Linked DNA regions of Mytilus edulis. The main gene of each other region encodes a partner of the protein of the gene in region 3 in a complex. Links are inferred from orthologs where the notes say so. Each region holds a gene or a part of one and is shown on either strand. Other genes may lie near its edges.

Region 1 (7,578 bases), about 21 Mb from region 3:
TCTAAGGTACCTAACATGCCAACTTTCCAAGTAGTATATATGTTATCTACTAATTATAAGTATACGTCGCTGTCTTCCGAACATCAAAAAGTGTGGTGAAAATCCAGTTGACGGATGACGTGTACAGTTGTTAGCATGGACAAAACCTTCATCATGTGACTTCCAATCTTTCTTCTGAATGTTTTCTGTACACTACCAAGCTTTACGAGTATTTATTTTGGTAACTTTCAGTGATGTCCATTTGATGAGACGGTGTTGTTCGTGACTTCGTCATACTAGTGATGTTGCATATTTCCTTGGTAATTTTAGAACCAAAGTTTGCACCTTGAAGTGGTCTCATTAAATATTATATATTTATATATACAGTTTAATTGCAAGGTATTCAATACACACTAACTCAAGGGGTTATGTCGTCTCGATGTTGATTAGAAGCGCTCTGTGACTTGTAGCCTGCTACCGGCGAACACATCTGTCGCAGTGCAAGATCTAGTTTTCAATATTTAGATCCATGCTGTCACTGTTTTTGTAGTTACATTTTTGGTGTGTATTGGAATGCTGCTGTTGTTTCTTTACTGAAACAATATTCACGATGCAGCTATATTTAAGTCAGATGGTATTGCCGCTCTATCAGTTGACTATAGAAATCCAAACTGGATGATATGGTAGTTCTTTGATAACTATTAGCATGTCGAAATGTCTTATTGCAATGTTTATTTGTGTATTTCTTTGTCCTGAATGTTCTTGCATTTATTTGTACTGTAGTCCTGTCATATAATGCTGTCATTGTAATGTTATATTTAGCATTGCCATAAAAGCGCGAGGTTTGGCTACCCGCAAAACCAGGTTCAACCCACCATTTTTTCTTAAAATGTCCTGTACCAGCTCAGGAAAATGGCCATTTTTATACTATAGTTCGTTTCTGTGTGTGTTAATTTTAGTGATGTGTTTCTGTTGTGTCGTAGTTCTCTTATATTTGATGTGATTCCCTCAGTTTTAGTTTGCAACCCGGATTTGTTTTTTTCTCAATCGATTTATGGATTTTGAACAGCGGTATACTACTGTTGCCTTTATTCAAGGTCCATGTATCTCTGTATAACAACATCTTTGTTAGGTGTTAGATACACAACTATAAGCGACTGACATGGCTATCGTCCCGCGGAAATCTACTAGCTCCAATACAAAAGAGACTTAACTTGCGGACCGCGAAATAATAACAACCAATCAGATACAACGATTCAAGTAAATGTATAGTGGATATTCATAGAACAATAGAGTGAACACCCGAAATAAAGGTTTACAAGTAAAAATTTAAACTCATAGATTCAATATTCAAAATATGAATGCATTCATGTAAGTATATATAAAAATAAATGATTATTACAATATATCAAATTATAAACATAAAAATAACTCTGCTACATATATCCATATATATATATGGATATAGATAAATTGCCTTGATAGGCAGCATAAACATGGACATAAAAAGCTTTGATTTGATTCGGCAAAGCAAAAAAACCACACATAATCTTTGATGAACACTTTACGGAAATAAAAACTTATACACAAGATATGAAATAAGGCAACGTAGCACCAAGGAATTGTATATTTAAATATACAATTCCTTGGTAGCATGTAATATATAAAACAGCTAAATAATTCCATGCAGCAAAAAAAAATCACATTTCTTGTAATGATGATTAGATGTTGAAACCATTTTAGTCCGTATCAAGGATTTGTATAGTAAGAAATATGGTAAAGAAGTTAAAAAAGAAATCTATGAAAATATATTTTTTAGAACGCTGTTCTGGGGGATCAAAAAGTGCTGATTTTTGGGAAAACTGTCAAACCTTTCTTTTCAAAAAAATGCCAATCCCAAGGGCAAAAGACTATTTTATTTGAAGAAAACAAAATTATAAATAATTCAAAAGATGTAATACTATCAGATATTTTTAATAAATTTGTTGCCACTGTTGCTGAGAAGATAGAAAATGATGTTATATATGATCCATTAAACAATCATAGCATAAATGCCATACATGAACAAAATCACTTGAAAACAGATGCAAATTTTAAATTTCAAAAGGTGACATCAGAAAAAGTGGAAAAAATCATAAATAAAGTTAATGTCAAAAAAGCAACTGGAGCAGATGAGATATCAGCAAAAATAGTTAAAGCAAGTAAATCTGTCGTTGCACCTCAGCTGACCAGTCTTATAAATTTGACTGTGGACACGGGCATATTTTCAGACAAACTTAAAGAAACCCAAGTTACACCCTTACATAAAAAGAGCGACCCACTACTGAAATCAAATTACAGACCAGTCAGTGTGTTACCTATTTTTTCAAAATTTTACGAAAAGATATTTGAAATACAGTTATACGATTTCTTTGATTCCATTTTTAATCCTTATCTATGTGCTTTCCGTAGAGGACATGGATGTCAGACTACGTTGCTCAGATTACTGGAAGACTGGCGTAAAGCCTTAGACAAAAACTTATATAAAGCTGCAGTTCTTATGGATTTATCAAAAGCTTTTGACTGCTTACCTCATGACATTTTACTAGATAAATTACTAGCATATAGTGTTTCTCCACATTCAGTATCTTTATCAAAATCATATCTTTCTTTTAGAAAACAGCAAATTAAAGTAAACGGTGTTCTGAGTAGCTGGGCTGACATCCAAAAAGGTGTACCCTAAGGTTCTATATTGGGCCCCTTTTATTTAATATCTTCAAAAATGATATATACTTTTTTGTTAAACATAGTACATTATATAATTATGCGGACGACAATACTCTGTCTTTTAGTAGTCCGGATTATGACCATCTCATATCCATATTAGAATCTGAACTCAAGTGCTTATTGATTGGTTTAAAGAAAATAAGATGCAGGCAAATCCTGATAAATTTCAAGTTATTGCTGTAGGGAAAAGAACCTTTGCAAAAAATCCATCTATACAAATTCAGCAAAATCTTTTTTATCATGTGAAGAAACAGTAAAGTTACTTGGAATTGATATTGATTACCAACTAAAATTTGATGCACATATAGTAACTTGTGTAGAAAGGCATCACAACAGCTGAATGTTCTCAAGAGAATTGGATCATTTTTAAACAGATTAAATAAACTTACATTTTTTCATACTTTTATTTTGAGTAATTTTAATTTTTGCCCTTTGGCTTGGCATTTTTGTACAGAGAAAAATTCTAAAAAAGTTGAAAAAATATAAAAGAGAGCATTAAGATTTGTATATGACGACTAATTATCATCCTCTGAAACTCTTCTTGAGAACGCAAAGGTTCCAACCCTACAAGTAAGACGCATCAGGACAATGGCACGTGAGACTTATAAAATTTTAAATAATTTGGCTCCTGTATGTTTACAAAATTTACTCCAAATTAAACACACTAAATATTCTTTTAGATACAATGATATTTGGAAATACCACAGGTAAGAACTACCTCATATGGAAAAAAAATCTTTCAGTTTTGCTGCTGCTTCTTTATGGAATAGCTTACCAGAACATTTCAGGACTGTTAACAACTTCTCACATTTTAAGAGTCTTGTTCAGTCCTGGAGTGGAACAGAATGTTTTTGCTCTGCCTGTAGATAATTTGTGTTACAATATTTATGCTTTCTATGCTGCATTAACAGCTTGCATTGCAACTGAAATGTTGTTTTTTACATTTTAAAATTTGAAAGATTTGAAATTTTTACTTTATAAATCATAATTTTTTTTTTAAATAATTTTTAAACTGCAAATTTAAAAAAAAAATAGTGCTTCATATATATGTTTTGGTATTTTGCAACATACATGTACATTTGTATATGCTATTTGCTTAGAGTTAATTTTTTGTGCTGCTTTTTATTATTTATTGCATGCTGCATGCCTTGTTTTATTTGTTATTGCATATGTTTTTTATATTCGGTGAAAAGCTCATTAGAGCTTATGTTTGTATTGTTTGTCAATATGCCGAATCCAAATAAAGTTTTACTTACTTACTTACTTCTTACTACACAAATCCTTGACAAATCATTGTCCGTATAAATAAGATATAGGGGGGATAGGACCTTTATCGGGACTCCGGGATCGGGTGTTTTTAAGCTCGGGATTTCGGGATTGACCCTTTCGGGATCCGGGAATCCTTTTTTTCGGATTTCGGGATGTCGGGATTTGCTTTATTTAAATTCGGGACCTCGGGATTTCGTTTTTTCAAGTCCGGGATTTCGGGATCAAGACCCCTCCTATCCCCCCTCAGATATGTATTAGTCCCAGATTTCATGGAATGAAAATTTTCTCCACTACTGTAACTTTAAATATTTGATTTTAAACTGAGTATTATATTTTCTTATACATTACTAGAAGTTTGTGTGTAGGAATTTAACCTAACATTATGTTCGACTAATAGTATTAAAAGTACGAGTTGGAAAAGATACGAGTTGTCCCCCTACTCCGATGTCCGACTTTGTTTTCTTTTTCTTTTCGTTCTTCTAGGGCAGACAACTCTATCGGAGATTTTTTCCAACATGTGGAGTGACGAACCACCAGCATCTTTTGCTCCTCCTGAAGTAAATATGAATGTTTTTAATATGAACTTTTGTATATAGAATCTACACAAGTCGTTTGTATATGTTATATGTTTTTCAATGGCATTCCTGATTCGATCAATACATGATAATCCATCATATTGTTGAACTCATTGCCAGACCAGTTGACAGCCCGGCTTCTCTATAAATCTATAAATAGACTCGATCTGTTGACCAGAAGATAATCCATTATTTGTTCCAGCTTAAACTAGTGATTTCCATTTATTGGTTTTTAGAGTATTTTATTATTTTTATTCATCCCAAACATGAGAAATTGACATTGTATATCCTCACAAAGGATTACAGACACTTGTCTCCGAAAAAAAATTACCTACAGTACATTTATATACATTTGTACATGTACTTTATATAACACAAGGTACCCAAATCATTTTTGAGAAATGAAACTTGATCAAGAACTTTCATTTTATTTTGCTTCTGTGGTTGTCCATCCCCCTTAAACTTGATATATGTATATCGTAAATCTACATTAATTACCTTCAAAATGCTGCCTAACACACCAATATCTGATGTCATAATCATTCATAGCTAGCTTTCCAAGTTGGGCTAACAGTAAATTCTATCATCCTATCACTGAAAAAGTGCACTAATAAGGTTCATCTGGACCATTTTGCTGAAATGGCTGTGTTTTAAAATCAAAATTTCTTCTACAATTACAAACGTCCATAGACTACCTCTATACACATAAGACTAATAAAAACCAAACTGAAGTTCAAATTGAATACCCACACGATAGTGCCATGTGCTGATTTTAATTTCACATTATGATACATAATATCATGTCGACAAAATATAGTCAGTAATTTATAAATACTACTGAAATTAAAACATTAAATATAACATCAAATAAATTCACCTAAGCAAGATAAAAAAAAATAACTGGGAAACACGTCTAATCGAGTCGGCCCTGTCGTACTGAATGGCTATATCCCATGAAGCGCAGCAATACAAATAACGGTCTATGGGCAGACAACTAGAAGAAATTAAAATCTAATTCAGTTCCTTCAAATACATGTAGTTGAAATTACATTTACTCTCAAGTACAGACTAAATGACTAAGAAAAGTTTTAAGGCATTGTAAGTTTGATTAAAATGGATTTTATGCTTTAGAAAATTTTAAAGATAACTATTTTTTGCAATGCACTTTTTTTCGTCCCTGCAGAAGATGATAAAATTAATAATAAACACCTGAGTTTCATTTGGTATGGTCCACTCAGGTTCACAGTTTATATCGCCAATTATTGTCAAGTACTGTATCTTTCCCCCCTCTATTGCCCATGGCAATCAATACAGTTCACTTCAATTATTACTTGTGAGGGAAGTTCTTAAACCTCTTTCTGAACTTTGTTAACAGTCATGACAGTGGCACCTTCTGGAGAAATGAAAAGAGTGCAGTGCAAAATCCAGTTAACTTAACTGTTTTTAATTTTCTAAAAAATGAAACACAAATGTACATCTGAATTTTATTTATCTAGAGTATATTAGGCCTTCAAAAAAATCCAGATACTCAGATATGTCGGCACCCAAAATAAATTTTAAGGTGAAAAGGCAGCCATTTTAGCCAAAGGGTCCACATGAATCTTGCTGTCTTGTAAAGTAAAGTAATCTTTATTTAATGTTGGGTTGCATATATACATAATAACAAGGAACATAAGATAAGCTCTTTTAAGAGCTCTTTAACCAACTGATATTAAACAAAACATTCATGTCTATACAATGCATAATTTAATTTAAAACTGATTATTTATTGGAGTGATTACTCAAAAAATTTCTTTTTATTTCAGTATTATCCAGCATATCCTCAACCAGGTGCCACTGATTATGATGCACACACAGGTATGTTACTATGTTAAACATGTTAAATAGGATTTCTACATTAAGTGTCCCCCATGTGTGATCATTTAATAATTAAACTATATTTAAAAGATTCTTAAACTTTGGTGACTGATATCACTATGGTAAATAAAATTGTACTCATGTCTTGAAGATCAGTCAAAATAAAGAATTTTATATATTTATTGCACTAACATTGATGAACATTTGTCCTAGCAGTAAGTAATGTTGGATGAGCTTGAAAGTGTTCTATGATTTACTGTGAGGTACACTATTCCTCTATGTTAGTGCAATTTTTTTTACCAAATTTTTTTCTAATTAAGGTAAATGATTTGACAGAACAATGTTATATTTTTTATAAAGGTGATCCACGCCAAGATTTGGAATATGAAAGACAGTATGCCCAACAGACGTCCTCGTATATAGTACCAGATGTCATCAAGAATTTCCTTATGGTATTCCAGAAGGCTATAAATGACCAGAATCTATATGAAATTCAAAATGCATATGAAAATGGGTATGTCTCTTACATGTCTTACTGCATATAAACCATGCAGGTGTTAAGCCAAATTCTAGCTTCTTTCTCAACATGTTCAATTTCAATTCTATTTTTAAAAAGATGTAATTTATCAGTTCAGGTGATGAAATGAAATTAATTCATCTTAAACAAATGTAAATATAAGGTAAATATTGATTTGGTACTTTGCAATTGTTTAAGTAGATGGACTTTTATCACCATTATGTACACCAATTATCAAAGCTATCCTGCAGTTTATCGCTTAATTTGCCAAGTTAATACTGTACTTATATGAGGGATGTAAAGGGGGGGTATTTGCACGGAAGAAAGAACAATTTAAAATTTCTTGCACATTGATCTTTTTACCAATTTCACGAAACACAGTGAATAAAGAACTTTTTTCACGGCTGCACATGAAATAAAAATGGCAAAACATGTTGCACGAAAATAACCCTTAACCACCCTCTTATGTCTAGGAACAGTTCATAAGGCCAAACAGCTATGTGCTTATTCCTGCCCAAAGCTTATTTTGAGTGCTAACCATCATTAAAGTTTTACACAAAAGAATCTTCTTAATATACAACTGATTTGATTTATGTACAATTTAGATTCAACAAG
Region 2 (7,164 bases), on a different chromosome or scaffold from region 3:
GAAAACAGACTTACCAGTATAACAATTGTATGGTTCGATAATTGCCACAATACAAAAAAATAGAAGTTCAGATGTATGGATGTACCATGAAAGATTTATATATAAAAAATGGAAGATGTGGTATGATTGCGAATGAGACAACTCTCCACTAGATAACTAGTGAAACAGAAGTTTGAATCATGAAAGATTTACCCATCTTCTCAACACATGCAGAGTTGTTCTTATCTTTATTAAGGTACATAAGAAAACCTAAATTACTTTTAGAATGTTAAATCCTCAGTCAGTATTGGAACAAACCTCTAGATCTACATCTTCTCATCCCTGTTGGTTCATGTTCTTCATGTGTGTGTTTACAACGACATTTAGCTCTCCATGTACTAGGATCAAAATCTCTTCTACGTTGATGCCAGAATTCGCCTACATCCTCAGGACGTGAAGGAATCCAAGCAAAACCTTTACACTTACACCCCCCTTGTCGACATGGTACCTGTACACTCTTTCCTAAAACATTAGAAGTAAAATAAAGAGTAAGAAGGTATGGTATACACGTAGGTCGCTGATGGTACAAACACAGGTCACTGTAATAATGTTTTATGCTAATGTAAATATGAACAGTAACAATGAAGTGCAAAAAGATCAAGTTCACTTTCGGCAAAATATGGCCTTGAATTTAAAGATTATAACTTTGTATGTTACAATGTGATGTAAGAAAAAAAAACCCATTCTTTCATTTTCAGGTTTTCTTAATTAAATAAATTTCAATATTTGATTATTTGCCATGCTCCAGGAAAATTTCATTTGTATATTCTTCAAATTAACAAATATAAGAAATTATTCACGAATAATGATACAGTTGTAGATATTTTGTACATAGATAATACTTTAGCTCAAGTGTTATATAATGCAAAATTAAAAAATAACATGAATTTGATCCTTCTGGTAACTTGAGTTTTCTATTTCAACTCTAATTGTAAATACATATTATACATCATACCTGTGTAATTTGCATGTCCATTTAACAGATGACCACAGAAACATTTGGAATAATCATTTACCCTTTGACAATCATGTTTAAACTCTGGACATCTCCATCCAATATAGATTCCTGAATTAAATCAAATTCAAAATTTTAAGGATTAAATGAATAAAACAAATTTTTTTTATTTTTTTTTATTTTTTATTTTTTTATAAAGTTTTTGCAGATCAAGCCACTACCTGCCTGCTTGAATGAAATTACCTATTTAAGTGACATTACTTAAAAGAACTATAATTCTAAATCAGATTCACCACAATGACCAAAAAAACCAAGAAATAATCCATAAAATAAAATAAGGGAGATAATTCTGATTTTACCTGTTTTCTGAGCAGTTAAGGCAGCTTCAACTTCTGGATCAAATAACTTCTTTAGTCTCGGAGCAAAATCTTGATTCATGGCTCTGGCAAATGATACAACATCATAGTTCTTGGCTGGTTCTATTTTTCTCATGGTATATCCTAGAAACAATCAAGAGTGATTGGTATTTAATAATAAATGTGAATTTGATGTAAATATGGTTTGTCATAAGCAAGTTTTCCCCAGAATTAATTAAGTCAATTAGGGGAGATAATTTCATAGTCACAGCTATATTCATAAAAGCCTCAATAATGTTTTTTTTAATAATTCTTTGTTACTAGTGGCATCTATTTCTTGAAATTTTTGGGTTGGTTTAATAGACTAACAAAGTATCAAAACAGAAACTTTGGTATGGATAACGTTGATAAGAAAGCTAGCTCAAATCTTAACAAATGATAAGTGTAAGCATATTTGATTTTAGATTTATTCAATTTAAATACATATACATTAGTTGGCATGAAAATATTATAAAAGTTGAATCGTCACTAAGACCAAAACGAGGACCCGGAAACAAGTTTCCAGCTTATATCATTCCTTTTCACTTATAACTGATTACACAAATATACCTACAAAATACACAGAAGTTTCAAAGCTATTTAATACTCTCTGACATCAAAGTTGGAGTATTATTATGATAGTTATATTTTCTTTGTCATTTCTCATATAAACATGGAGTCCAAATACTACTAAGCAATCAACAGATACTAAAAAGCAATGTTTATATCATCTAAATTTGTATTTCTTACCAGATATTGTTTATTTACAAGATACAATGTAAAATGATTTAAACAAACAAATTTTACCTTCAGGAACTAACATTCCATCTTGTTTTTTCATGGCAATAGGTTGCATGCCTCGTGGTAATACTGCTTTTCCTCTTCCTGAAGGAGCTCCCCTTCCTGCAGGAGAACCTCTACCTGAAGGAGCTCCCCTTCCTGCTGGAGAAGCTCTACCTGCACCTATTGTCTGTAATATAAGGACATCATGTCTTAAAAAGGGAGATAATATTAATATACATTTTAACACTGTCTAGTGTCTGGTATGAATAGTTTCAAAGTATTATAATTTCAAGTTTGTGCTTATGGTTTTTTTTTCTCAAATAATAATGCTCCTTAACATCAGTTAAACAATTTTAAGTATTGCTTTCCATAATTTAAGAATTTAAGGATTATTTATTCAAATTAATAAATTAATAATTCCTTTGATTTGTCCCAGATGCTCGATCTACTGCATCAAAACAATCTGCTTCCAAGTTCAATTGATCCATTAAATTCCATTTAAAAACATCAGGGCCAACAAATATTATTAAACTAGTAATTGGAAGTCATTAAATATCAGATAAAGACTTGCTGTGAAGTACTGAGTTTAACTTCATATGCATTACCTGTTTTGGCTTAGTACCAGTTGTTTTTGGGACTGGTTGTTTACTCATACTATACTTCTATTAATTACTGTAAAATAATACAACCTGAAAACAAATTTGACATATCAGATTAAATGTATGTGAATTACTCTAAACTAATACAACCTGAAAACAGATTTGACATATATCAGATTAAATGTATGTGAATTTCTGTAAACTAATACAACCTGAAAACAAATTTAAAATATCAGATTATATAAAACTGTGGACTGGTATTAAATTCCACTGAGTAATGGTGTACAGAAAAAATGAAAATTTATATGTATCTTTTTTGGTAGAAATGTGTCTGAAAGTGAAACGGTGCGGGTTTCTGATGGTATGAGGATAGCAGAATGGATTGCTACGATTTGGTGTACTATTTTGTAGAACATTATCAATCTTGTGCATAATCTTCTTTCCTGTAGTGTGGGCCAGTTTAGTGAGTTTATCATGTCTGTAGTACTACTGATGTTATGGTACCTGTTACAGACATATCTGGCAGCTCGTCTTTGGACCATCTCAATTTTAGAGGTTTGTTTAACTACTGTGTGAGGGTCCCATACTGAACATGAATATTCAAGCTTAGAACGAACCAGTGCCAGATATACCTGGGTTTTGATGTTCTGGCATGATGTTTTTAAATTTCTTTTTAAGATTTGTTACCATTAGCTATAATGTTGTCTGTATGTTTTGACCATTTTAAGTTTGCTTGTAGTGTAATGCCTCAATATTTACTTTAAAGTGTATAAGATTAATTCCCTGTTAGATATACTATAGTCAGGGTTACAAGTAACTAGTCCCTTACTATAAATTTAAAGTATGGCCAAAACGACTAAGGAGGAACCGGATCTATGGCCGAAACGTCTTGAGTCCATCCATTAAAATTTAATGAACCTGGACCATTTTTTTGTTATTGTTTTTCTGTAGATTCATTAACCAAATATACTGACAAGGGTAGCAATTATATAAACTTTATCGTAAAAGTGAAATGAAAATATGTCATACTCTTATTGATTCTGTATATGTTTTTAAACAGGAATAAATATTAAGCGACTTAGTCACTTCTTCAGTTTGTCATCCATTTGTAAACAAAGCAGTCACGCACCTTGGATATTCTGGTTTCCTGTCAGCGTGAAGTAATTTATCCTTTCAGAATTCTATTTTCGTGAAACCAGTTTAAAATAATTAAATAAATATTTTTCAAAATAATGTATTGAAATAATTTTAAGATTATACGAAAAATATCAAATAATATTGTAACTCATAAGAATTATTTTATTACCTCCAAAGAAATTGCATTCCCGCGCAAATAATTTCTATTTTTAGTTTCTAGAACTTCAAGATGTCTGACGCATGGGGTAAACATGTGGAGAACATATTTATGACTTACTAAGTTCTTAATTACAATTTTAAATGAATTTTATGATTTATTTATTTCATATTTTGTAGATGCCGATGATTTTGAGCCAGAAGTACCTGTGAAGACAACGGATCAGTGGGAAGGGGAGGATGAAGATGATGTCAAGGTTTATACGATTTTTTTTACCAAATTACATGGTTTTCTTCATTCTTTGTTTAGAAGACAATTAAACGTAGTCGTGATTTGGAATCTTAATTTAACATATTAAATCTATTGCTCATCATTACTGGATCCTTCCTGGATCAATCCTTTACACGTGACAGCTGTTTCATTTTGCCTATACTCGCTGTCAGCTGAAATTCGTAGCGGTTATCGGTTAAAATAATCTTAACTATCAATCGTGTTCACTTGAGATATAGTTTTTCACATTCCATTCATAAATCGCGAAAAGAAAAACCACCTACCTTTGAAGTGATCACACTGTAATAATCCTGGGATATTTTCTTAAGGGATTCTGATATATGATTAACCAGCTGTTCCTAATTAAATTTCAAATGTGACATATGAAATATTTAGAATGACAAATGGTTTCCTTTTGGGTGTTGGTCAGAAAAAAAATGACAATTAAAATGTTCTTATCTGGTAATTGTATAAGTTATAATGCGCTCAATACAAATTAAAACTTTTGTTTACAGGATAATTGGGAGGATGACGATGATGAAGAAAAGAAGACAGAAGAAAAAGATCAGGGTATGTTGATTTGTCCTATTAATAAAAATACACACTGTAGCCAATTTGAACTGCACTATGGTCATTTAAAAAAACGGGATAATGCATGCCTATGAGAAAATGAACTTAAAATTATTAAATTAAAGGATAAGGCCACACCAATTTAATCTTGTTCGACGGACCCGCCCGCTCCTATTTTTTTCAAAACAGATTTTTATTATTTTTATTATATTCTTGCTTCCTGCATCCGGAAATGTAATCATGTCCATTTCCCATACCGTTTTTTTTTTGTAAATATTATAAAAAGATCTCAACATTTGTTTTTAAAATCATAGTATAACCTTTATATAACGATTTTAAACCTATAAGCACCTCACGACACTAAATATCTGTGAGAATATTTGTTTCAAGCGGGAGTGCTCCGATATAAATATATAACAGTGGAAACACCTGTACAGAACAAAACATTGGTTTCTTTCCCCCAGACTTATATTCCCTATCAAAAAATGTTCGTAGTTAAAATAAAGTACAAAGAACTTCTGAAGGATTTGCCTTCAACTGCAATTATAATGTATGCTGACGGTCATACCTGCTGCAGGTTTGTGCACTGGTCCTGATTGATTCAGGGACCTGTCGTTCAGCAGTTATCGTTTGTTGGTGTGGTTCATTGGTATTTTCCCGTTTGGAAATATAAATTAGATCGTTGGTTTTCCTGTTCGAATTGTGTACAATACTAAGTTGTGGTCCCTTATACCTTGCTGTTTGGTCTGGATCAAATCTCTGTGTAAAAGGCCGTACTTTGACCTATGTTTGTTATTATCAGGTAATCCCTCAGACAAGGACCTTGAAGGGGTCATTTAACCATGTTTACTGTTGTAGAAAAGAAAACAGAAATACTAAAGATTTTTATAGTGCATCTATACAAAACTGTATAGTGCTACTATACAAAACCTTTGAAACTTTAGAATTTTTTTACTCAAAAAGAGGAGAAATACATTATATTTTAAACGACTTTTAAAAGAGAGGTCCACTTATTTTAAATAATATAAAACTGTTAAATTTTTGGACATGTTTTGACCATTTAATACCATATAGATATTATAGTTCTTTGGGAAAATATTACCCCTTTTGTACTCAAAGTGTTTTTACAAAATAAATATATTATAACTTATATTGACCCCTCATAAAAGGGATATTCATAACATTAAGGGGTTGTTCTGAACCTGATTATGACTTGGATGGAGAATTGTCTCATTGTCAGTCACACATACATAGACCAGATTTAATTATTCAATTATTTCTTGTTGAACAGGGAAAAAATACTTCATAAATTAAAGATATGTCAAGGTACAAGTGATAAATCAAGTTTTAATATAGTCAAAACCTACTATTTTATGTTTACAAAAAAAAATTATAATCGCTCGCCTTTACTTTTTAAGCTTCGCCTCAAAAATTTGCAAATTAAATATTTTTTTATTAAAATTTTCAAATTGCTCGCTCGCCCCAATTTTTGGAGTTCAAAAATCTGTAGAACAAGAAATTAAATTGGTGTGGCCTAACAGAAAAATATGGGATAGTACAAACCACCAATGCCTGACTGAAGAAAAAAATAGACAAATCAACACATGATCCAGTTCTTGTTACAAAATAGAACAAGTCTTATATGTGCATGAACCACAACCATCACATTGTTTTCCATCAAAAACCTTATCTAGAGATAGTGAACTAGATTGAATCTACAATAAGCACAGAAATGTGAAACCCCTGTAAAAAGCTAGGAAATTAGAATTTTTCTGATATAATACATCATTTCTTTCAGAAGGGAAGCCTTTTCAGAGAAAGAAAAAGAAATTAGCTGACAGAATAGCAGAAAAACAAGCTGCCAAACTTGCTGCAGAAGAAGCTGTAATTTTAACTTATTTCTCTTTATTTAATGGCCATTTATATATTGTTTGGCCAAATTGTAACAGTAAATTACAGTCTGGTTGATACTCTAAACAGTGTCTTCCAAGTTGCTTGATCAATAATTAGAACTTGTCACACATTTCAGAACTTTCTGATAGGTACCTACTACCTGTTAGCCCATACTTTAAATTTTAATATTGTTACTAACCTGTGTTTAGTTATAAAATCTCTGTAAGATACCTATTTCCTTTCTTCTGATAGTTTGAAATGCAATACATGGTAAGCATAGCACAATAACAGGTTTATTCTTATAACTTTTGCAATAGTAAAGACACATTTTCACTAAACATGACTAGAACAAAATATTGTATTGGC
Region 3 (7,384 bases):
CATTTCCTCAACAGACGCTGACGATCCCTGTAAAAGTATCATTATTGTCATCATTCAGTTTTACTTGCATATTTAAACATTCAGTGTTTGACGAGAAAAGAATATTAAAAATCCTCAAACATTTATCCTACATTAAACAAGGCGGCTAGCAAAGTATCTTTTACTAGAAATGCTTACTTTGCCCCTATTCAAATGCATTGGTATAGAAAGACAAGATGAAGATTTCATGACACTTTAAATTGTGAATGGTATTTACTCCTTTGTTTTTCCAGTAAGGTGTGCTGTTTACTCTCTGTTAAATATGTAAGTCTTTAGAACTTGCTGCAAAATTATTTTTTTGGTTTTAGTCAGTTTGCGAAAAATTCCTTTATACATATATCAATCAATATAATCCCCCAATCGAGGTAATTTTATCCAAAGAAAAATCTAATTTTATTAGAAAAAAAGCATTCAAGACAAATAACCCTCAAGTTTAAGTAATATCTGTACCTTTCTCTACTTTTCTGTGTTTTAGACAACACCTGCATACTAGCTTGAGCTTGTTGTTGCCTTCTTTCTCTTTCCTTTCTTTGTTTATTCTGCAAAAAAAATGTATTTATAATTTCAAACGTTGTGCAACAAATTTTAGGTCCTTTCACTGTATTTAAACAAACTGAGGCAATGGATTATTGTAAAATATTTGTTCGTTTACTTGGGTGAATATAATCAATACTAGATGGTTTGTTACTTGAAATAGCAGATATGTGGTTAAATTTGATAAGAATTCTTATTTGTAGGACTTCAAAAATAAAGTCTGAAGATTGAATATTATCATGATGATGTTACAACAATGAGACAGTCCACTTATCGGTAATATTGTTGTCTCATAATGATTCCATCATTTTTTATTTGCAGACAAATATCAAATAGCAATATTAAGCTATTGATGTCTTAAAAACACACAAACTTTTGACAACATGTGCTCTTCATGACAATGTGAGAAAAGGATTATAAAAACAACCTGCAAAATTGTCACATGACTGTTTTATACTGAGGGTTTTTGTTTCAGCAATATTCTTTTAACCACATAAGTAAAGCTTAGTTTTGTACTCAGCAAAACAATTATACTTCATAATTTGTTTTAGAACCCTGTTTCAATATGTTTTCATACCTGTTGATAAACTCTTCTTCCTCTTTGGTACACTGGTTTCTGAACCTTAGCTGTATCAACAAGTTGGAAACTGTTCTCATCCTCTTCATGGTAGTAAGCATACTGGCTTCCTAATCCTCCAAATGAAGAACTGTATTTCCCTGTGCAATACAAATATTTAGAGCTGTTGTTTATACATATTAACATAAATCTGCAGTGTCTAAAAGACTTTTAATACACACATCATTACTTACGTATAGATAAAATATTAGTGAAGATGTTGTTTTTCTACCTCCATATCAACACAAATAAAACGGGGAGAAGATGGAGATCCATTGTAGACTTTACATACAAAAGGAATGTTTGACATAGACAGTGTCTAATTCTTCTAGGAAACTGATACTCAAGTAAATGCATCAATTGATTTTTCCAAAATGATGTTATATATATATAAAGCAAAGAGAGAAAAAACCTATTTTTTTTAACAATCTATATCTAAAGAAATGTGTTTCTTTAATAAATTAAAGCTTTTATTTTGATACTCTAAATTAAAAAAATCAACAAATGCTTACTTCGACTTATTGCATGATCATGTTAACCATAATACTTAGTACTTTTTTTTATTATTTGATTATTGAACTGCTACTTATATATTGTATTTAATTTTGTATGCCATAACCATTTAATGTAAATGTGTTTGTGCTAATAAAATATTGTCTATTGTCTACTATATTCTGATTGAAATTTAGCTGAACACCTGCACTCCAAATAAAAATAGGTGCAAATCTGATAAATACATGTACTATTATATAAAACATAACCGTTCTACTTAGATAAACCAATACCTAAATATCTTTTGTCTTGATAGGTTGCTCCAGTCCAATCAGAAACCTAAAAATAAAGCACCATGAGAGATTATATAATTCATGTATAATATGGTTATTATTCAAACTGCAGCTCTAGACATAAATGATATTAGTGACATTACAGAAATTTTGTTCAAATTTCCTAAATCAAAGACTGGAATTTTAAATGTGACCTCATCAGGCATGCTTCTGTCCAACTTTCGTAAAACTTCATGAAGGTTTGACAAAATTATTGATATTAAAATAACCACATATTGAACCTAAATGTTGACGCCGCTGAAAAAATCTAGGTTCGCTATTTCTTTTTTTCGCGTTATAAATGTCGCAGGCTCGGCTAAAATTCAAAGCACATATCGGATCTCAGCTGATTATGAATTTCTTTAAACAAATGGAAAGTAAGAAGAATTACCAGGAGATTCAGAATTTGACCGAAAGAAAATAAACAAATATATAATACGGCACTATTTGATCGGAAATAGATTTCGTCACTTTTATAAGCAATTACAAGCTATTGAAGATTGATTTACAACACTGATGTGTTTTAAACCAGATCTTTTTAATGGAGATATTTTTTTTTTATAAAATTCAAGTGTACGCCCGGGCGTTTTGACGTAAATGTAGCTACGCCCCTGGAAGCCCCTAGATTGGCACCAAAGGCAAAGACCAAGTCAGCAAGTGCCAACTTGTTAAGCACCATCGATCTTAATTGATTATTTTACACATTATGTCTAAACCATTCACCAGATGGAACAAAACTGATCTGCTGTTTGATACTCCAGGAACTTTCCTGGATCATTCTGACAATCCTTCCCTCCCCCTTTTTTAAAGTTACAATATGTTGACAACTTATTCATTACAGTACTCTACCTTTCCGAGCCGATCTCCCTTTGAAAAGGGCTGATATGGCATGTCCTTAAATTGTTCAGGAATAGCACAAGGACCCCATCCAACGGGGTTATCTTGAATTTGTGGGGGATTAAAATATGCCATATTTCTACCGGCAAAACGTGATCGTCTTTCAGCCTCGTTTTCAGACTAAACTAATAACCGAAAAGATTCGGTGAAAACGAACAACAAAGACAAGCCAAACATCTCTGTCAGCCACAAAACTGAAGAGGCCAAAACTATATCTGCCGACTACTCGCCAAGAACAATAACAAACGAGGACCCTACCAAACTCCACGGAATACCTCTAATATACAGCCATCCAAACAAGAAAGCTGCTACAGGAGCATGTCAACAGAAATCTGATAACACCCGAAAGATATGGAATGGAACAAAAAAGGCACATGTACAACACCCTGGTCCAAGTGCACCATTACCACCAAGACAACACTACTATGTCAGAAGACTAGAGTCACAAATCCCTCCAACGCACCACCCTGTTAATCAACAACCGTTATACAACATGGCAACAGGTGCAGCTTGTGGAAACAACCCTTTTTTAGTGCAGAGCAATCCCCAACGAAACAACATCAACCAATTTTAGACACTAAGGACAAATCCATCAGCATAGCCTCATACAACTGTAAAAATATCAAAACATGTGGACACTCCATTAGCGAAATTCTACAGGAAAATGACATCATCTTAATTCAGGAACATTGGCTTTTTCATTCTCAAATACATATGATCTCTGATATTAACTGTAACGTAAACTTTGCAGCCAAGGGGGTGGATATGAACGAACCAATTCTTCCAGTATCCATGCCCAGAGGATACGGTGGCGTGGGAATCATTTGGAACACAAACATAAATCATCTCATTAGACCTCTTGACGACGGATCGGAAAAAATACAGTGTATTGAACTTGAGAACTCGGTTAGGCGAATACTGGTTGTTAGCGTGTATCTACCATCAAACGGGAGCAAAAACCATCAAATAGAATATCAAGAGTGCATAGATGAACTGCACGAGATATGCCAAAAATACATCAGTACTCACCACATTATTATAGGTGGAGACATTAACGAAGACCTTAATGCTGGAAAACCAACGAACAAGAGAAAGGAGTACCTGAAGAAATTTATAAATGAAATTGAATTGAAATTTGATAACATTGGAAATACATTTATCAACTCGAAGGGGTGTGAATGCTCTGAAATTGACTATTTCCTACACAACATAACACCAGACATACTAGGGAAGGGAAAGTCAATCCTCAAATGCCAAACCAACGCCTCAGACCATTATCCAATCAGTATGAGTATAAACTGGAAGCATGAGAAACTTGATATGAACCAAAAAAAACGTCCGAAATCCAAAATTAAATGGGATAAGGTAGACAAGGATCTGTATAAAGCAATAACAGACAAAGAGGCACTGAAGCTGCAAGAATCAATTATTACAGATTCATTAGAGTCACAAGAAGTAGTTGAGCGGATGAATGATATACTCACAACAGCATCACAAAATTCATCAGGAAATAAAACAGTTTATCAATCAAGACCAAAGCTCAAAGTATGGAATAGTGACATAAAGAACGCCTTAAAGGAAAAACGGATCACGTACAACGAATGGCAAAAAGGTGGGAGACCAAACGATCCAGCAAATCCCCTAACACTCAAGAAAAAACAAGGAAAAAAGGAATTTAGGAAAACAGTACGCATAGCAGTAGCAAGGCAACTGGAGGCAGAAAAAGAGAGCATCATGGAAGCAAGATCGAATAACATGGAGGTCTTCCACAAACTAGTTCAAAAGAACCGCAGGAAGGGAATTGAACACATACAGGATATAAACGTTAATGGCGCCACATACTCGGGAGACAAAGTCATAGAAGGATTTAAGGAACACTTCTGTACTCTTTCTACACTTAAAGAAGAGGCCTTCAGCAACCCGGAGTACCACTCCCAAGTGGAAATGGAAATAAGCAATATCTGCAAACTGGTAGACCAAGAAACGATACGCCCTGTCATAGAAAATGATGTCCGTAAAGCTATTTCTACAATAAATAGAAACAAATCCGCAGACTACCATAATATAACCATCGAACATTTCATATATGCTGGAGATAATATCTTATCCGCCCTTACTCAACTCATCAATATCATATTCCTAGAAGGAGATATACCAACAATTCTGAAAATAGGACTGCTTTCTCCTGTATTTAAGAACAAAGGCAGCAAAAACGATGCATTAAACTACCGAGGAATAACTATTTTACCCGTAGAGAGCAAGATAATTGAGGCCATCATTAGAGATCGGGTACAACCAAAAGTGCAGAAGGTGCAAAACCCAACTCAAAGAGGATTCACCAAAGGATCCTCCCCGATGAATGCAGCACTACCTGTGGAGGAAATGTACCGAATTCTCCCGGAAAAAAAGCAAAACGGTTACCTAGTCTTGCTCGACGCAAAAGCTGCCTTTGACACTGTGGTGCACTCACATCTATTCCGCAGGGTATATCATGCTGGGATTCAAGACAGGACATGGACAATCATTAGGAGTCTTCATCAAAACGCAGAAAGTAGCATAAAATGGTCCGGAAAAACATCAGAGCGTTTCACAGTAGGCATGGGTGTCAGGCAAGGAGGCATACTGAGTACAGACCTGTACAAGTTATACATCAACCCTCTGTTAGACCACTTCCAAAACACAACCTACGGCATGACTATAGGGAATGTCAACACAAACAACACCGGATGCGCAGATGATATCGCAATATTGAGTATGCAGCCAGCTGATGCTCAAATTATGGTCAACATGGCCCTTGATTTTGCCAATTCAGAAGGATACCAGCTGCAGCCAAAGAAAAGTGTAGTAATTAAAATAAGCGGAAACAGCAATAACACCAAAATGGAAGAAGACAACCTGATGATGGGTAACACACCTATGCCTAATGTTGAGCAGGCTACACACCTTGGGATCATCAGAACTACAACTCGGAAGAACAATATACAAAGTAACACCAACGAAAATATAACAAAGGCAAGAAGGAGTGCATACAGCCTACTTGGAGCCGGGTTCCATGGACACAATGGTTTGGACCCTGAATCGCTACTGCATATCTACAAGACGTATATACTCCCTGTCCTACTATACGGAATGGAACTTCTAACCCCATCCGGTAAGCCTCTTGAACAACTTGAGATCTTCCAAAAAAGGATGCTTAAACAGATATTATCGCTGCCAACAAGATGCCCTGATCCAGCAGTCTACATACTCACAGGAATTCTTCCGGTTGAAGCCCAAATTCACATTAAGACGCTAACTTTCTTTAACAATATCTGCCATCAATCAGAAGAGAGTACCGAGAAAAAGCTTGCCAGAAGACAACTGACAGTCTGCAGTGAGGAAAGTAATAGTTGGTTCATACACGTCAACAAGTTGCTACGTCTATACGATCTCAGCGAAGCAAACACCTACTTGGCCAACCCAACAAAGAAAACTCAGTGGATCACATTGATAAAGAACGCTGTGATGAAATACTGGAGCATCAAAACTGTACAAATATCCGAACTATACTTGGGCCTAAAGTACCTGAGCAGTCAAAACCTCATCAAGGGAAAACTTCACCCAATCCTCCAACACAAGAGTCAATCCGCTCTAGACAATAGCAGAATCCCTACCAGATTACGCCTTATTACTGGAACTTATGTACTTCAAACAAAACGGATTCAATTCTACAGACAAGAAACAGACCCGACCTGCCTGCTTTGTGGGTTACAGGAGGAAACACTAGAACATTTTGTAATGCAATGCGAGAAGTTACAGTCCGTTAGAGCGGTGATACTTAAAGAGGTGAATGACATATGGCAAAATGAGATGAATAATACCATAAGGTTCCATGACCTGGACATTACAACGCAAATGCAATTGCTCCTCGACAGTGCAAAACTCATCAACCTAAATAGACATAACTCAGCCAGCGTAGCCCGTATGGAAAACCATTCCAGAAACCTTTTCTTCAAGTTGCACATAAAGAGAAATGTACTGTTGGACGAAAAGACTTAGAGGCACATCGTAGAAGATAAGCTAGCATGGAGAGGGGGAGGGGTAGGGATACCATTGACTCTGGGTCCTAAAGCACCGGATTGCCCACAGATTCATAGTGGACATACTTTTAGATTTTACCGTACATATACTTTTATCACAATGCAGTAATTTCGTATGAACACTGAACTTTTAGATTTTTAAGAGCAAACATTTTTTAAACATGGAGCTTTAAATACGTATTTTAACCAGGCAAAGTCGCTCTCTATATATATATTCCGTATGTGAGGACATTCTAGATTTTAGATTATAAGCGATTAATAAGAAGCCGTTTTTATATATTAACACAAAACCCCGTGTGGATAGACTTGTTTTAACATTGATAAAAATCGCCATGAACTTTTATTATAACATACATGAATTTTAAAATGTCGGGAGGTGTCGTTGCGGATTGCAA

Evidence for each region.
Region 1: eukaryotic translation initiation factor 3 subunit D-like (region 3) and eukaryotic translation initiation factor 3 subunit L-like share a complex: the UniProt entries of both Drosophila melanogaster proteins name them as parts of the eukaryotic translation initiation factor 3 (eIF-3) complex. The link is inferred for Mytilus edulis from reciprocal best matches to the Drosophila melanogaster genes eIF3d1 and eIF3l.
Region 2: eukaryotic translation initiation factor 3 subunit D-like (region 3) and eukaryotic translation initiation factor 3 subunit J-A-like share a complex: the UniProt entries of both Drosophila melanogaster proteins name them as parts of the eukaryotic translation initiation factor 3 (eIF-3) complex. The link is inferred for Mytilus edulis from reciprocal best matches to the Drosophila melanogaster genes eIF3d1 and eIF3j.

The regions. Positions count from the first base shown.
Region 1 is NC_092352.1:17,627,002-17,634,579, reverse strand, and holds the start of eukaryotic translation initiation factor 3 subunit L-like, read left to right. Parts: upstream 1-4,468; 5' UTR 4,469-4,529; coding exon 4,530-4,571; intron 4,572-6,394; coding exon 6,395-6,446; intron 6,447-6,806; coding exon 6,807-6,960; intron 6,961-7,568; coding exon 7,569-7,578. UniProt on the Drosophila melanogaster protein: Component of the eukaryotic translation initiation factor 3 (eIF-3) complex, which is involved in protein synthesis of a specialized repertoire of mRNAs and, together with other initiation factors, stimulates binding of mRNA and methionyl-tRNAi to the 40S ribosome.
Region 2 is NC_092347.1:85,262,050-85,269,213, forward strand, and holds the start of eukaryotic translation initiation factor 3 subunit J-A-like, read left to right. Parts: upstream 1-4,078; 5' UTR 4,079-4,137; coding exon 4,138-4,153; intron 4,154-4,244; coding exon 4,245-4,321; intron 4,322-4,850; coding exon 4,851-4,905; intron 4,906-6,703; coding exon 6,704-6,789; intron 6,790-7,164. Other genes in the region: protein FAM221B-like, read right to left, coding at 298-501, 995-1,105, 1,354-1,494, 2,197-2,359, 2,778-2,825. UniProt on the Drosophila melanogaster protein: Component of the eukaryotic translation initiation factor 3 (eIF-3) complex, which is involved in protein synthesis of a specialized repertoire of mRNAs and, together with other initiation factors, stimulates binding of mRNA and methionyl-tRNAi to the 40S ribosome.
Region 3 is NC_092352.1:39,012,286-39,019,669, reverse strand, and holds the start of eukaryotic translation initiation factor 3 subunit D-like, read right to left. Parts: upstream 3,059-7,384; 5' UTR 2,986-3,058; coding exon 2,863-2,985; intron 2,021-2,862; coding exon 1,975-2,020; intron 1,291-1,974; coding exon 1,151-1,290; intron 579-1,150; coding exon 490-578; intron 28-489; coding exon 1-27. UniProt on the Drosophila melanogaster protein: mRNA cap-binding component of the eukaryotic translation initiation factor 3 (eIF-3) complex, which is involved in protein synthesis of a specialized repertoire of mRNAs and, together with other initiation factors, stimulates binding of mRNA and methionyl-tRNAi to the 40S ribosome.